3 linked regions of the Saccharomyces cerevisiae S288C genome follow. The gene in region 1 interacts genetically with each later gene. Each region holds a gene or a part of one and is shown on either strand. Other genes may lie near its edges. The genes, in order: DYN3, FAB1 and RPL40B.

Region 1 (3,599 bases):
AGATTTAAGGAAAAAAGAAAAGTTATTATCTTTCTCCGCGGTTTTTCAATGACCCGATGTATTGACTCTTCCTGACCGAAAATAACAGGACAGAGTTAGAACGAACATGAATAATAAAATATAATCTGGGATCATGAATCCGAATGACTGCTCATGCGGCAAATGTCAGAGCTTCGGTGTATTTAAAGTTTGCTTACTTACAATTTCAATAATAGGTTTGTACTTTTCAGATTCTTATTATTAAGTCAAGGTAAAGTCCTTCGTTTTTTTTTTTTTCATTTTAGAAAAATTTCAACAGCCACCGTACAATTTTATTCACTTTTAAGTCATAGTTGCGAAGACATCGTCTTGAAAGTAGTAGATTTCGTTCTAATAAGTTTAGCAAAGAAAGAGGTACAGCAAACAGCAGAATAGAAAAAATGTGTGGTATTTTAGGTATTGTATTAGCAAACCAAACCACTCCAGTAGCTCCGGAGTTATGTGATGGATGCATTTTTCTACAACATCGTGGACAAGATGCAGCTGGTATAGCTACCTGTGGTTCTCGTGGTAGAATCTACCAATGTAAAGGTAATGGTATGGCTCGTGACGTATTTACCCAACAACGTGTTTCCGGTCTTGCTGGTTCCATGGGTATTGCCCACTTGAGATATCCTACAGCCGGGTCTTCGGCTAATTCAGAAGCGCAACCATTTTACGTCAATAGTCCTTACGGTATTAACTTGGCACATAACGGTAACTTGGTGAATACTGCATCATTGAAGAGATATATGGATGAAGACGTTCATAGACATATTAACACGGACAGTGATTCGGAGTTACTATTGAATATTTTTGCTGCTGAACTGGAAAAACATAACAAGTACAGAGTTAACAATGAAGATGTTTTCCACGCGTTAGAAGGTGTTTACCGTTTATGCCGTGGCGGTTATGCTTGCGTTGGTTTACTTGCCGGTTTTGCATTATTTGGTTTCAGAGATCCAAATGGTATTAGGCCATTATTGTTCGGTGAAAGAGAAAATCCGGACGGCACTAAGGACTATATGTTAGCTTCAGAAAGTGTTGTTTTCAAAGCTCACAACTTTACTAAATATCGTGACTTAAAGCCTGGCGAGGCAGTTATCATCCCTAAGAACTGTAGCAAAGGTGAACCTGAGTTCAAACAAGTGGTTCCTATTAACTCTTATAGACCTGATTTATTTGAATACGTATATTTCGCCAGACCGGACAGTGTCTTGGATGGAATATCAGTTTATCACACAAGATTGGCTATGGGTTCTAAATTAGCGGAAAATATTCTAAAGCAACTGAAGCCAGAAGATATTGATGTTGTTATTCCCGTCCCAGATACTGCAAGAACATGTGCACTAGAATGTGCTAATGTGTTAGGGAAGCCTTATAGAGAGGGCTTTGTTAAAAACAGATACGTGGGCAGGACATTTATCATGCCAAACCAGAGGGAAAGGGTTTCTTCAGTAAGGAGGAAGCTTAACCCTATGGAGTCTGAATTTAAGGGTAAGAAGGTTCTGATAGTGGATGATTCTATTGTCAGAGGTACTACTTCAAAAGAGATTGTTAACATGGCCAAGGAATCCGGTGCAACAAAGGTTTACTTCGCTTCAGCTGCCCCAGCCATTCGTTACAACCATATTTATGGTATTGACTTAACAGACACAAAGAACTTGATTGCTTATAACAGAACCGATGAAGAAGTGGCGGAAGTAATCGGTTGTGAAAGAGTCATTTACCAATCATTGGAAGATTTGATTGATTGTTGTAAAACTGATAAAATAACCAAATTCGAAGATGGTGTATTTACCGGAAATTATGTCACTGGTGTTGAAGACGGTTATATTCAAGAATTGGAAGAAAAACGTGAATCGATCGCAAATAATTCATCAGATATGAAGGCTGAAGTCGATATCGGATTATATAATTGTGCAGATTATTGATAGATTGTTCCGAACTTGTTCAGTTGTATGTAAAATAGTTTCCAAATGCGCCCATTTATACATAATTATCTTTGTATTCTGACCTAAACTAAATATATATATATATATGCACGTATTAAAAAAAAAAATAAAAGCAAAAAGGTAAACAAAGAGAAGTAATCCGCAACTTGTACAAAAAGAAAAGAAGATAAAAGAATTGTATGTATTAATGGATAATTGTAATGCCTGGGACAAATTATTGTCTCAGAATGAATCCACAATCAACAGCACAGAGACTGCTACGATAACAGCAATCATATATTCCCCATCAAGTAAAACACTGCATCAATTTATAAATATCTGTTTTCCAGAGGGAAGCAATTCAATACTGGATACCACTTTGATTAATTACGCCACCATAGGATGGACCAACGACTTAAAGGAAAATTATTCTGTCGATGTTTACACGCTAATAAGAAACACTGACGATGCACTAGATCTTCTAAAGCCGTTTTTACAAGAACATAGTTCGAAGGTTCGCTGGCTCATATTATTAGATTGGACACTGAACGACCAAAAGTTGTGGCTGAATGAACTATCCTACGCATTCAATAAAATTAAGCAACTGAATGACGATAATGAATTTTCTGTATGGTGCTTAAACAGTGGCGAAATATTAAACTTACAAAGACACACTACAGTATGGCAGTCAGTACATATTGACTTCATTTTGCAAACGTTAAGATCGTTTTGCTATTTTAATGATAGCTCACTATTCTATATATGCGAAGACCATACCGAAGAGAAACGAGAGGAAGCACAAAGGCTTAAATACCAAGAGCTTCTAAAGCATTTTTGTGAAGATAGAGATATGAAAGATCATATTGAAATGGTCAAACGCAGTGAGATATTAATACCGAAGGGGTGCGATTCTATTGGATTGATAAAAACAGTAGACGAAAGATTTGAGCCTACTGAGGTGAAAGAGCAACACTTTTTGGCCCGATATATGGACTTTATACCAACAATTGATAAAATCAGAGAAGATAGGAAAACAACCTCTGGTATCGACCTTGATAAACTATATCCTTTAGAAGTTTTCAAAGTTAATATTCAAGAGGAATTAGGCAAAATGTTCGCAAAATATAGGGAAAATTCGAGGATTTAGGAAAGTGGGCAGGCGATACTTCTTTTATCATGAGCAATTTTTTTCTCTTTATATGTATAAATATAGATATGCACACGCATTTATAAATCCCTATATCAGGGTTGGATTTCTTCTATGTTTATGTATGTAAAAGAAAGAATTCACATGTGATAAATTGTGGAATCAGCACATAGTTCTTGAACCAGCTCAGAGTCTGTGTCGTACCCGACATAAGCTACGTAGCCAGGTTCACCTTTATCTTCGTGAATTGGGTAGTGGACGGGTGGAACATTATCATTCTCGATGATACAGAACGAGAGATGTTCATCATTTGGTTCATAATCTCTAGTGATTCTCTTTACTATAGTTTTATATTCGCCTCTTTTGTCACAACTTGGCCCACCACGTGCCCAAAGCTTGATTACTGAGCCAGACTGGGGTTCTTTGATTGGGGTACAATGGAACCATTCATAGTTAATTCTTGTACCATACTTGAAGTATTCAACCGCAGCGATCAGCAA
Region 2 (3,760 bases), on another chromosome or scaffold:
CGTGCCCAACTGTGGAGGAGAGCCGTGTGGGACTCTTGCGCTGTTACCATTGCTGTTGTTGTCAAGGTACGAGTTTTTGAAAATGGGTCTGTTGCCAGCACGAGAACAGATCGGTGTATGGGAGATGGAGTCACCCATATCCACGCCAGCGTGGCTCAGGTCAGAGTCGTTAGTGGTCCTGTATTGCATATTGTGGATAGTATTCTGGAAATCCATGGGTCCGCTACTCCTACGTTCGGCTCCCGGGGCGTGCTCCCCGATACTGCTTTCGCGTTCCCGGGCTTGTTCCCTGGAATTTAGTGCGTCCATATAATTGGTAGACCGCCGTCTAATCATGGGGACTGGCTTGTCTACGCTTTGAGCGGGAGCGCTTGGACCCGGGAGGTTGAATGTAGAAACACTAGGTGTTTCCTGTGCACAGGGCGGTTCGTCGATGTTGAGGAAGTCCTGTGATCTTTCAAATGTGGGTGACGTGCTCACTTGGGGCGTGTTCAAGTGGGGATCTGTCATGAGGGTGAGTGTATGCGTGTGTGTGTGTGTTGCGTAGATGTGTGATTTACTATGTGTTATGTAGCTGCTCTCATCGCTGCTGATAGTAGATCTCTCGCGCAAAAATTACTCAGGCAAACCTTTACTATACCTACATATATATATATATATATGTATATGTATGTGTGCAAGCTTTTCAGAGTGGTGCACTGACATTGACCGGGCCACTCATTCCACCCCACATCCCCCAGATCAGGGGGAGATGTTAACGAAAGGAAACAGGGGATTTATCACTGGTTACGGGAGCGTAGTGACTGTACTACAAATTCGCACACAAGCAGCGCCCAGTGACGAGTCTCCGCGGCGTCTAAGTGCCGGAAGTCATCATCCACGGTGTGCCATGTACTTGGGAATGGTAGCGGGATTGCATGTAATACGGGTACTCCGGCGGCCAGGAATGGCGTGTGGTCGTCTCCGATGACCGAATGCCCGAGCCCTAAAAATCGATAGTCCGTGGGGTCCAGATGTTTGCGTTGACGCGCGACTTCGGCGGCTAATGCCGATTCGCCGTTGATTTCATCTCCACGTCGAAATAACAAGTCATCCTCTATTCGATTGAGCAGCTGATATTCTTGATGTGTCTCTGCATAGTAGCTGGGCACTAGCGGCTCCTCTTCGCCACTTCCTAAAAGATCCAGAAGAAATAATAGGCGAATTCTTGTCATCGTGCCGTCAGCAAGCCATTGGGCGGCTAATCGGCGTGCTCCATAAATCGAGTCCTCGGGGCCCCACTCTTCAATGGCCTCCTCTCCATCAAAGAATACGATCTTTACACCCAAGGTAGAATTCGATACTACAGTGTTCGACTCTAAGTCATTGTACTCTTTCGTGCGCTCGTGGCACGCGATGTGCGTTAGGAACTGGGCCGTATATAGCAGCGCGGCACACGAGGCGGCACTGTCGATAGCGCCCACCATCCCCGTGGGCGCTATCTTGGTATCATAATGAGCAGCGAGCACTAAGTACTCGCTCGCATTGTTTTGTAATGTCATAACAAGGTTATTGAAGCGGTAACCGTTCTCCTCAAAGGCTTGCGTCTCAACGGCCCATTCTCCCGCCAGCGTATTGTTGAAGTGCTCGATGATGAAGCGCTGGATCTCGCGCGAGCCTTCCGATCCGGGTACGCGCGTTCTGTTAAAAGGCAACAGCAGGTTCTTGGTACTTTTGTTCCAACCGCTGTCTGGGTTGATAGCTTCGTTCAGATGCGCTGCATGGTACTGCTCATATGACAACTCCCACCCAGTTACCCTATGCACCTGAAATAGCACCAACAGGTACGCTAGACCAATTAGTCGCAAAGGCAATACGTACTTCATTCCCATGCTTACGACCTTTTCAGTCTTTTTATTTCTTTTCTGTTGACTCTCTCTAACTCTCCCTCTCCCCCTCTTCTTCCCATGAAATGTATCACAAGCCGTCTTATTCCTTTGCTTCTTATATTCTTATGTTCCTTCCTTCGTCTCGCCTCGAAGGCAACGCAAACGCAATGTACTTCTTGACGAACGCGAAAACCATATGGAAAGTAAATAAAGGGCCAAACAAAAAACTATTTCGAATAGCAAGGTAGCTTCCATCCTGTACATGCAAGACCGTCACACAGCATGTCATCGGAAGAACCCCATGCATCTATATCCTTTCCAGATGGCTCACATGTCCGGTCGTCCTCCACTGGTACTTCATCTGTGAACACAATCGATGCTACCTTATCCAGACCGAACTATATTAAGAAACCGTCCCTGCACATTATGTCGACATCTACGACGTCGACTACGACGGATCTAGTGACAAACCCAATTCTGAGCAATATCTCCGTGCCAAAAATAAGCCCCCCCACATCATCCTCGATAGCAACAGCGACATCAACAAGTCACGTGACCGGCACTGCGTCGCATTCGAACATTAAAGCTAATGCTAACACTAGTACCAGCGTGAATAAGAAAAATTTGCCGCCAACAACTAGTGGGAGGATACCCTCTAGCACCATCAAGAGATATCCGAGTCGCTATAAGCCTTCTCACTCGCTGCAGCTGCCCATTAAGAACGACTCCAACTTTAAACGATCTAGCATATATGCCTCCAAATCCACTGTTACTGCTATCCCCATTAGGAACAATCGGCCAATTTCCATGCAGAATTCCTATGCGCGCACTCCTGACAGCGATCATGACGACGTTGGCGATGAAGTGTCTTCGATAAAGAGTGCCTCTTCTTCGTTGACCGCATCCCTGTCCAAGAGTTTCCTGTTCGCATTTTATAACAACCGCAAGAAGGACAAGACCAGTAACAATGGTGTCCTCTCAAAGGAATATTGGATGAAGGACGAGAGTTCTAAAGAATGTTTCAGTTGTGGTAAAACGTTTAACACTTTCAGAAGGAAACACCACTGCAGGATATGCGGCCAAATTTTTTGCAGCAGTTGCACTCTCTTGATAGATGGTGATCGATTCGGCTGTCATGCCAAGATGCGAGTATGTTACAATTGTTATGAGCATGCAGACACATACGAGGACTCCAGTGATGAAGAGAATGATTCTACAATGCAATTGAATGAGCCAAGGTCTCGCTCTCGCTCTCGTTCTTCCAATACCAATCCATATTCTCATTCACATTCGCATTTGCATCTCATTTCACAGGACAACCATAACGGTACCGATCTCCATGATCCAGTAGCAGCAACGGATAACCCTCAACAGCAGAATGAGGTCTACCTATTAAATGACGATGACGTACAAAGTATAATGACCTCAGGTGAAGATTCTAAATTGTTCATTTCTACACCCCCACCACCACCGAAGATGGCCATCCCAGCAACAAAGCAAGGCGGATCGCTGGAAATCTCATTCGATTCGGAAAACGATAGGGCTTTGCATTATCAAGATGACAACCCCGGTCGCCATCATCACCTCGATTCCGTGCCCACAAGGTACACTATCAGAGATATGGACAATATATCACATTACGATACCAACTCTAATTCCACTTTGAGGCCACATTATAACACCAATAACAGCACTATTACCATCAACAACCTCAACAACACTACTTCCAACAACAGCAACTATAACAATACCAATAGCAACAGCAACATCAATAATCCTGCGCATTCCTTAAGAAGGTCTATTTTCCATTATGTAAGCAGCAATAGTGTTAACAAGGACAGTAACAATAGCTCTGCAACACCCGCTTCGTCTGCACAGTCTTCTTCCATACT
Region 3 (3,411 bases), on another chromosome or scaffold:
ACTGTTCAATTCTTCTTTTACAGCGTTCAATTGTGATTCTAAAAGGTCCACTAAACGTTGCTTTAGGGACATTTCTGCAGAAAATTCTTGCTTTTCGGAATTTAGGGAGTCGGATAGACCCTTGATTTCCAGTAGTTTTTCTTGTAAAGATTTTGACAATTCGTTATTTTTTTGCTTCAAAACATCATTATTCGTTCTTTCCATTTGAAAATCATTCCTTAAACGATTTAATTCATTCCTGATATCTAGAATTACTTTGTCGGTTTTTTGTCTGTAGGAGAGATACTGTTCATTTTTTGAACGTAGCTCCTTTTCTAGCCAATCATTATTTGACTGCAATAAAGTCAATTCTTGTGTTTTTCTTTCCAGTTCAGTTCTAGAATTCAGGTCATTAGTAATATAGCCCTGTTGTTTTGTTTCTAAATCCATTATTGTAGAGCGTAGTTTCTTACATTCACTATTGGAGCGATTATTCTCAACCCTGACCAATTCTATTTCTTTTAGTCTTTCATCCAGTATTTTCAGGGTTCGCTGTTGATTACTCTGGGTTTCCTTTTTCTCCTCAGTTAAATCATCGAGCTTCCTTTTCACAAACTCTAGCTCACTTGATAATTTCATCTTTTCATTTTCTACAGATTCGAACTTAACAAAAGTATCATTCCTCTCTTTTCGGATTTTATCATTTTCTCTTATAACGTTTTCCATTTCTGTCTTCAAACCATCAATTTTCTTTAAAGAACTAGCCTTCAATTCATCGAATGAGACGGTAACCTTTAGATTCTCCGATTTAAGTTCATTAAACTGTAAAAGTTTATCGTTAAGGTGTTTTACCACATCACCGTCAAATGATTTAACCTGCTCTAAAGAGCAACCGAAAAAAGACGCAATGGCGTTCAATCTTTCGTCTGAATTTTCACCATTTTGTATGCTTTCCATTGGAGTATCATGATCCGACATTATCCTAAAACGTGGCGTTACTGACTATTTGTGTAGCTTCGGCGAGTATCAGTTAAGTCCTAGTCAGCACAAGAGATGGAAAAATAGACAGGCAGCAATATATCTATCAGTAAATATTGTAAATGGAGCGTATCTCTCCGGCGCCGTAAGACTCAATGGACCACTTTTATTGATATCTCTGTCTGTATTCAATTTGCCTTCCAGTTTTCTTTTCCCATATACTCTTGTTGTCATGTCAAGAGGAATGAAAGGAAACAAAGATGGGAAGAGCGCGTTACCCCGCGCGTCGATCATCATATTATAAAGAAGACTTAAGTTATTATTTTTGTCAGTAATATTCACCCTGATATAATGTTAGTAAGAAGTAAATTTTATTATTCCATATAGAATCTATGGAAGGTTGACCCATCCCTCAATTTTTTCTTGAGAGTAGAAAAGCTTTCTGCGATATGTGGAGAGATATAAAAAATGCTGGTTCAGTTCAAATAGAGAGAGAAATTTTTAAATTCTTGCATAGGGATACTTGAATTCATTGCTTGAGATATTAACGCGTTAGGTTGTGTTCTTCAATGATGGGCAATGCAATTTGGCGTTAAGCGCCTGAGCAATAAGGTAACAGCGAAATTTATGACATATTATTTCGAACCTTTTACAAACTAGTAGATTTAGTGATTTATTACCTATTGGCATTCATTTGTGTTCTATATGTGGATGAGGATAGCCGCCTTTCTTCTCATCGGAGGCCATATCATCTTTCGACAATCCTTTTTAAATACTATTTCCATCCGTGCCTCTAATAGATTTGTGTAGTTGTCTGGGTGCAATCTTTCCATTTTTGCTGAACTTTTTTTTTTTTTTCATGTTTTTCAGATTCTGAAGTACCGCAATAGGATATGGCGGATAATCCGCCATATGATCCGCCTCATACTAGCCATTACCCATCTATCCCAGGCATTATGGGTATGCAACTCATAATCTCAAATACACAAATAAGAGCAACCTTATATATCACTTTTTCCCGTTCAGCAAGAGGTAAAGCCACCAAAGGTTCAAAATGCAAATGTATGTTACGGCGAATACAGAATACTATGTTCGAAATAATATGAGGATTATACGATAGCAAAAAAGCCATAAACGAAAGACATAAATGGAAAATGATTGACAAGCTCACAATTTATTAAACAAGTAGCAATTGAGAAAAACTATTACCTGCGGCAAGCTTCTGAGTTTACATTAAATCTGTAGAGCAAATTGAAAATGTCGCATATGTGCTGAAGGGTTTGTTTGTTCCATCTTATTTTGCATAACATAGTTATATTTACTTGGTCGCATAAAAAATATTTTTTACTAACGTGAAGTTTCTTTCTTTATGATGTACGCACGCACGTCTGTGCTTACTCCATAAATGAACTTATTCCAATTTTGTACAGCTTCGTTAAGACTTTGACTGGTAAGACCATCACTTTGGAAGTTGAATCTTCTGACACCATTGACAATGTCAAGTCCAAGATCCAAGACAAGGAAGGTATCCCACCTGACCAACAAAGATTGATCTTTGCTGGTAAGCAATTGGAAGACGGTAGAACTCTATCTGACTACAACATCCAAAAGGAATCCACTTTACATTTGGTCTTGAGATTAAGAGGTGGTATCATTGAACCATCTTTGAAAGCCTTGGCTTCCAAATACAACTGTGACAAATCTGTTTGTCGTAAATGTTACGCCAGATTACCACCAAGAGCTACCAACTGTAGAAAGAGAAAGTGTGGTCACACCAACCAATTGCGTCCAAAGAAGAAGTTGAAATAATCGATTTATTACGATCTCCACAAATCCAAAGTTTGTATACATCACGATTTTTTTACTACATATATATTTCCTTTTCTATTCTATTTGTAAATGGGAGGAAATCTTAATATGGACCTCTCTTCACAAATTGTTCTATAATACAATATATATCAAGATATAATAACAAGTCATTTGAGATAATGGTATGCAAATACGCGAAATAAGAGTAAACGGATACAGTGAGCCTGAAGAGGACAAGCTGCTTCCATGTTGTAGTGTTTAGATATATGAGCTTAAAATTTAGATTTACTGAATATTATACAATAGTAATTATACATAAAGAAATTCCATTTTATCTGTTCGATAGCAATGGAAGAGGAGAGAGTTCTGTGAAACAAATAACAGCAGCACAGAAAACTCCCGTCAACGTAATATGGTTAAAAAAAAAAAAAAAAAAAAGACAGTAAGTTAATTAAACGCACTAATATTTGGTGGTGGATCTTAGACTTTCCATTGGTTCTAATATTTCAATATCGTTAGCTTTAGGTGCGGAAATTGGATTGAGATCAAATTCGTCTTCTTCTTCGTAGTCCATAGCGTTCATTTCTTCCTCTGTATCATTATACTTCCTGAAGCACAACCAGAACAAACAACCAGAAATAAAGC

What was found.
Region 2: mutations in DYN3 (region 1) and FAB1 together harm fitness more than expected from each alone (negative genetic interaction), as found in Saccharomyces cerevisiae (2 studies listed by BioGRID).
Region 3: mutations in DYN3 (region 1) and RPL40B together harm fitness more than expected from each alone (negative genetic interaction), as found in Saccharomyces cerevisiae (3 studies listed by BioGRID).

What each region holds. Positions count from the first base shown.
Region 1 is NC_001145.3:863,912-867,510, reverse strand, and holds DYN3 (dynein light intermediate chain), read left to right. Parts: upstream 1-2,160; coding exon 2,161-3,099; downstream 3,100-3,599. Other genes in the region: ADE4 (amidophosphoribosyltransferase), read left to right, coding at 420-1,952; sphingosine N-acyltransferase subunit LIP1, read right to left, coding at 3,240-3,599. UniProt on the Saccharomyces cerevisiae protein: Component of the cytoplasmic dynein which acts as a motor for the intracellular retrograde motility of vesicles and organelles along microtubules. May play an important role in the proper orientation of the mitotic spindle into the budding daughter cell yeast.
Region 2 is NC_001138.5:182,352-186,111, forward strand, and holds the start of FAB1 (1-phosphatidylinositol-3-phosphate 5-kinase), read left to right. Parts: upstream 1-2,150; coding exon 2,151-3,760. Other genes in the region: IGD1 (Igd1p), read right to left, coding at 1-510; YFR018C (uncharacterized protein), read right to left, coding at 780-1,871. UniProt on the Saccharomyces cerevisiae protein: The PI(3,5)P2 regulatory complex regulates both the synthesis and turnover of phosphatidylinositol 3,5-bisphosphate (PtdIns(3,5)P2).
Region 3 is NC_001143.9:617,351-620,761, reverse strand, and holds RPL40B (ubiquitin-60S ribosomal protein eL40 RPL40B fusion protein), read left to right. Parts: upstream 1-2,011; coding exon 2,012-2,019; intron 2,020-2,387; coding exon 2,388-2,766; downstream 2,767-3,411. Other genes in the region: MLP1 (Mlp1p), read right to left, coding at 1-957; PTR2 (Ptr2p), read right to left, coding at 3,227-3,411.